Yarrowia lipolytica: one gene and its partner. Each later gene encodes a partner of the first gene's protein in a complex. Links are inferred from orthologs where the notes say so. Each region holds a gene or a part of one and is shown in the gene's direction. Other genes may lie near its edges.

The links.
Region 2: YALI1_C28706g (region 1) and YALI1_E06137g share a complex: the UniProt entries of both Saccharomyces cerevisiae proteins name them as parts of the F-actin capping complex. The link is inferred for Yarrowia lipolytica from reciprocal best matches to the Saccharomyces cerevisiae genes CAP2 and CAP1.

Annotation. Positions count from the first base shown.
Region 1 is NC_090772.1:2,869,276-2,872,449, reverse strand, and holds YALI1_C28706g (uncharacterized protein), read left to right. Parts: upstream 1-1,713; coding exon 1,714-1,716; intron 1,717-1,830; coding exon 1,831-2,610; downstream 2,611-3,174. Other genes in the region: YALI1_C28716g (uncharacterized protein), read right to left, coding at 1-771; YALI1_C28686g (uncharacterized protein), read right to left, coding at 2,893-3,174. UniProt on the Saccharomyces cerevisiae protein: F-actin-capping proteins bind in a Ca(2+)-independent manner to the fast growing ends of actin filaments (barbed end) thereby blocking the exchange of subunits at these ends.
Region 2 is NC_090774.1:612,512-615,796, reverse strand, and holds YALI1_E06137g (uncharacterized protein), read left to right. Parts: upstream 1-1,781; coding exon 1,782-1,841; intron 1,842-2,056; coding exon 2,057-2,785; downstream 2,786-3,285. Other genes in the region: YALI1_E06158g (uncharacterized protein), read left to right, coding at 1-1,244; YALI1_E06119g (uncharacterized protein), read right to left, coding at 2,943-3,092. UniProt on the Saccharomyces cerevisiae protein: F-actin-capping proteins bind in a Ca(2+)-independent manner to the fast growing ends of actin filaments (barbed end) thereby blocking the exchange of subunits at these ends.

The DNA of each region.
Region 1 (3,174 bases):
TTTCTTGATGTTAGGCAACTCAGGACAAGCACCCTCACAATCACTGCATGCACATTTGTAAGCACCTGTTGCACAGTCTCGAAGAACAGGCTCCACGGGCTTAATTCCCTTGGGAGGGTAGTTTTTGTCCTTCTCATCTTCGGGCCAGGGGAAGTTGATTTGAAAGGGGGAACCTCCGAGCATGGGTTTTTCGTCCCCCAGAAACTTGAGAAAGTTCTTGTATCCGTGTCTACCGCCTCCTAACAGGTCCATGGCGTAGCCGTTGGTCGCCGAGAACTTGATGTCTTTACACGAGTCGTAGAACCCCTGAGCCCACTCTGGTTTCACATAGTAACTCAACTCTGTCACGATATCTCGTCCGTCTGTCGATTTGCCCAGTTGTGTCACATTAACGTAGTCGCGCTGGTCAGGGGCACATGTGAACTTGCAGAAGAATTCGTAAAAATTGGACTTGCAAGCCGGACACGATGAAATCAGACCATCGGCCTTCTTCAGCGAGTTCTTCAGATCCTTGATCTGCGCCGTATCACAACATAAAAGTTTCTCGTGTGTCCAAACCTCGCCGCAGATCTCTCCTAGCAGATCCAGATCCCCCTTGGAAGGCTCAAACGGACCAGCCTTGTCTTGTGGTGTCGGACAGGGTAGTTCGCTGCCGAATAGTGATTTCTTTCCACAGTTGCCGTATATGCTGCATCCTGCCGACTGAACAGGGCTTGTGAGTGTAAGAAACACCAGCAATACCGATATTACCGTCGGAATGAGTCTCTTCATCGTTCTAGTGCGTTTCGTGAAGACGGTTAGTTGCTCCACCAAGTAGGTTGGAACATGCACGATAATGCATAGGGTTAGGGAACACGGCGATGGTGAAACAGGGCGAGACAAGGTGGAAGATGGAAAGATGAATGGGTGGTGATATAGTAGACAATGCTGAGACGCTCGGTTCCGTTGGTAGGATGGTATACATTATCAGTCGAGATCTTGTCCATAAAATATACATAAAATATACATAAAATATACATAAAATATACCTCTGTATTACATAATCTGATAATGTAACTACAAGTCGCGATGGAAGGTGTAATTATTTAACTCCGGAGTATAGACAATACAAATTGGCGTTTGGTGCTTGGGTCGTGTTTCGAGATAAGGAAAGGCCGTATTTGTCAGGATTTCGTCGTATGCTGGTAAGTGTTTCCCGAGGCTCGGTATCAGTGTGTCATTCAGCCGTCTTCAATGTGTCATTCGGTCTTTTTAAGTACAACCACCAGTCAAAACGTGTCCCAGCTTACACTTCAACTACTTATTGGGTTATATTCAGAAACTGAATTTTCGCTATAAATTTTAATTTCTCTTTTGAAATTTTAGACGGGAGTTACTTGAAACTTAACTGAGGTAAATTAAATTAGTTTCACCCATGACAAAATAATGCCACAGATAGCAATTAGAACACTTATAGCCCTATTTAAAGGGTAATTAATGCCACCATTTCCTCCAACAACCTCGACACCCCCACACCCGCGACACTCACTCTACAACACCCTCCTCCAGCTCCCTACTTCTGCTTCTTATGTTCCTACGTTTTTCCCAAAATAAACTTTCCCCAATCCCACTACTTGTAGTAACGCACGACTAATGCATGCGGTGTTAACAGCAGTGGATATCTGAACATCATCATCACAACAGTACAGTACAGTACATACCCAACCGTCCACCATGGTGAGTAACAGACACAATTCGGACTGACAGTAAACATGGCAGTCACGTGGCATTGCGCCCCATAGATTCCACGTGATCTTCCTCCCCCCGGCCGTCGCGCAATCGCTAACCCAGTCTGACGAACAATACGACGCTGCTCTGTCTCTTCTGCGACGATTGGATCCCAAAAACGTCAGCGTCAACCTCAATTCCCTGTGCAAGATTGCTCCGGAACTTGCGGAGGACCTGCTGTCTTCCGTCGACCAGCCTCTCGGTGTCAAGACCTGCAAATCCACCAAAAAGGAGTACCTGACTTGCGACTACAACCGAGACGGCGACTCGTTCCGATCCCCATGGTCCGGCGACTACGAGCCCGCAACAGACGGCCCCACGCCCTCGGCGGCTCTGCGCAAACTCGAGGTTCTCGCCAACGACTCCTTTGACATCTACAGAGACCTGTACTACGAGGGAGGAGTCTCTTCGGTCTACCTGTGGGACCAGGGCGAAGGAGACAATACTAACAGCTTTGCCGGCGTTGTGCTGCTCAAGAAGACCTCGCCCTCGTCGTCCTGGGACTCCATCCACGTCTTTGAGGTTGAGACCAGCCGTGGAGAGGGGATCTACCGGGTCACATCCACCGTGATTCTCGATCTGGGCTCCAAGTCCCCCAAGCTCGGCCTTTCCGGTAACCTGACTCGACAGACCGAGCGAGAGATGGCTGTCGATGAACCCTCTCAGCATATCGCAAACCTCGGAAGCATTGTTGAGGACGTGGAGTCCAAGCTGCGAAACCAGCTGCAGGAGGTGTATTTCGGCAAGGCCCGGGACATTGTGGGCCAGGTGCGATCTCTGGGCGGCGTTGAGGACGCCAAGCAGAAGCAACGACAGGAGGAGGTCATCAAGGGTCTGCAGTAATGCAGCAATGATGGTATGGATATATAATGGATGAAATGACTAATTGGCGTGTATGTGTAGTCGTGACAAGTACAGCTGGGTTGCTACCGTCCGGCATGAGTCTTCGCAGTAACAGGCACCATCTGTAAGAGTGATACCGGTATCATAGCAGGGAAGTAGTTGGGTGCATCCGATTTTATCGTGTTATACTCACGTCTGTCTTCTCTTCAGTCACTACATATTGTTCCATACACACTGGCTACTCTCAATAAATAACTATTCTCGTCTATACTTTATCTCACTCTATTCTTGCACTTGTCCGTGGATGTGCTTGAGATGTTCATGTTTCTCCTTGTTGCTGGCGAAACCGACAATGGAGCGAGGACACTGTTTGTGATCGCAGAAGATCTTGAGTCGGAAAGTCCGATGTTTAACGTCAAGATGGGTGGCCAGGCGAACCACGTTTGCGAATCGAGTCTTTTTGGCGTACGAGCGGCATTTGGAGCAGTACAGACGTTCGCACGCGTCTTGCTGAGCACCTTCATACAGCCCATGTTCCAGGAGCTGTTCTACCAGGGTTGGTTC
Region 2 (3,285 bases), on another chromosome or scaffold:
AGGAAGAGCCCCTTGTGCAGAAGCTCCCTGAGCCCGATAGGGGCCGGGCTTGGATCGCCATGGTTGGAGGAGCTCTGGGTCTCTACTCATCATTTGGATACATCAACGTTGTGGGTCTTTTCGAGGCCTACTATCTGCATCATCAACTAGACGGCTACTCGGCATCGACCGTCTCGTGGATCACGTCTCTACAGTTCTTCATTCTGCTGGTTGGAGGAGTTTTCTTCGGAAGACTAGCTGAGATGTACGGGCCTCGGCCGGTGGCTATCGTCGGTATGCTCTTCACAGTGGGAGGAATCATGGCAACCTCTGAGTGCAAAACATACTACCAGTTCCTGCTGGCTCAGGGAATCTGCACGTCTATCGGAAACTCCTGTGTCTACTACGCATCAATGGTCGCGTGTAACACGTGGTTTGTCAAACGACGAGCTACCGCCCTGGGTGTGGTAGTTGGAGGTTCGTCGATTGGAGGTGTGACCCTGCCATTCGTCTTCTCTCAACTACAGCCTAAAATCGGATTTAATGACACTGTGAGAGTCATTGGATACATCATGCTTGGAGTGGGAGTCATCTGCTGTGTTTGCATCTCTTCTCGACTGCCTCCTAACAAGAAGTTACGAAAGAACTTCTTCAATTTCCGACAAGAGGTTATTGAACCCTACAAGAACAAGTCGTTCGCTATGATGACCGCGGCGCTGTTTGTTTCGTATTGGGGACTTGTCACAACCATGGGATACATGTCCACCCACGCTATTTCCCACGGCATGTCTGAAACAGTCTCCTTCTACCTCGTGGCAATCTACAACGGAGCCTCCTTTCTGGGTAGAATCTTGCCGGGTATAATGGCTGACAAGGTGGGTACTTACAACATGCATTCCGTATGCTGTGTTCTTTGTGGTATCATTCTTCTGGCTTTCTGGATCCCCTCCAACAGCAACGCGGCCTTCTTCACTTTCTCTGGAGTCTTCGGATTCATCTCTGGACCCTATATTGGTCTGTTTGCAGCTCTTGTGGCGGAAGTGTCCGAGCCACATGAAATTGGGAGGCGATTGGGTGTAGTCACCTTCTTCTGCTCCTGGGCAGCTCTTACTGCCATGCCTATTGCAGGAGCCACCCTGGACGAAGGACATACCAGCTTTGTCGGACTTCAGGTGTTTGCAGGAGTTACCATGATGGTAGGAGGATTCATGGTATTCGCAGCCAAGATGCTGGTCCCTGGACAGACATGGCTCTCCAAGTTCTAGCGTGGATGAAGGGCGAAGAAAACATGAATGAAGAGAAACGACAACTGGAAACTATAGAATCGCATTTAATATATGGAGTTTAGGGAATGATTGAGGCACAATTCCATCGTATACATTCACAACTATGGGAGATAGTTGAAATGGATAAAAAGGATAACAGAAGCTCAATACTGTAGTTGGTAGTGAAGTGACTTCGTCATTTTCACTTCTGCACGACTGTACTATTCTTGTTTTTTTTTCAGCATACTGTAATACCAACTTTCACTGTAAGTATTCGGTAAGTAAAGTGGTCAACTAATAAGGTTTGTCAAGTAACCGCTGTTCCTAGACTGCGAAGTCCGAGAACGGAGTCTGGACGAATACAACCGCACCGGTTATATTATCGACTCTTCTAAATTATTCTATTTGTTCCCTCCTACTCCAATTCCTTCACTCATCACCGCCAATATCAGTCCAAAAATAGCTCACTTATCACACGTATGCTAACTCTGTTGGTGGTGTGCATATACATCACCATCTCCTCAACACACCACACAAATGTCTCGATCGAACCAAGAAGCCCTGGCCGATTTCGTGGCCGACGCCCCTCCCGGAGAGGTGAGTATCAATTGTTGGCGGACGGATGTTGAGGATTCGTGCGCTGTCAGCACGGGCCTGATACGGAGTCTCCCCTGTATCAAGATGTACGGGTTATGTTGTCACGTCATTTACTTCGGTTGCTTGAACTTGAACTTGAAACGCGTGCCTTGATATCTTGCAGGCCGCTAATTAGATCCAATTGAACGTCTTTCTGTACCCCCATACTAACGCAGCTCAACCAGGTCGTTGAGGCCATCAGCACCGTCGTTGATGGAAACAGCTCGATTCTGTCCAAACTGGAAACCGACGTTCACAACAAGATTCTCGACCAATGCATGGTTGTGTCTCTCGGCAAGTCCAAGTCCCTGGTCTCTAAATATAACCAGCTTTCCAAGGACACCTTCTATGACAGCCAGAGTGGCCAGAAGTTCGAGTTCGATTTTGATACAAAGAAGGCCACCCCCTCGGGCTCCCATGGCTCTGACTCGCCCATCCAAGGGGCTCTCGATAAGTACTTTTCTGCCCACTTCCCCTCCGAGGGGGCTGCTGGGGTTTTTCCTCAGGATGACGGATCTATCGCCCTTGTGCTTGTGGATGGCAAGTATAACCCTGCCAACTACTGGAACGGAAAGTGGCGGTCTGTGTACATCTTCGAGAGTGGCTCTCTGAGCGGAACAATCGACGTGGATGTGCATTACTACGAGGACGGAAATGTCCGTCTCAAGTCCAGCGAGAAGGTGGACCTTGGTTCTGTGTCCGAATCTGACATTGTGGACGCCATCTCCAAAGCCGAGCAGCAGTTCCAGGAGAAGCTCAACAAGTCATTTAACGGTCTAAACGAGGATTCGTTTAAGGCCCTGCGACGACAGCTGCCCGTGACTCGATCTAAGATCAACTGGGGCAAATCCATCTCCAACTACCGGCTGGGTAAGGATATTAACGTTGGTGGAGGACGAGAGTAAGTAAACAGCGCTCTCTGTTTATATAGGATAAGGCTTTGCGTATTATGAGATCAGTACGTGGGTATCGGTACTGTGGTGTTACGATCAATCTTCTTAGTTATAAACACAGCGCCGAACGCGCTCATGGTACTACCAGTACTTCTACTCTCCTCATGCATTAAAAAAACTTGAACAGAAACCACAGCAGGAGAATGATGGCCAGAGCAATGCCAACAGTTCGCCAGATGGGGTGTCCGGCCTTGAGCGACCGTCCAAGCTTGGAAGCAGACCCTCGGACCGAGGTCATCATGTTTCCAACAGTGTCCGTCTGGGTTAGTAGGGTAAAAGAAGTGAGGTTTTGGACTGGGTGAAATGTCTAGGAAGGGTACAATCGCCCCGGTACTGCATTCCTTTGAGGTTCCCCTGCTCCACGATACAGGAAAAAGGAGTTGAAGCCAGCTGAGGACGTCCTAGACACATAATAATACCATAGATGAAACCAGCAGATCGAGAGAATGCCA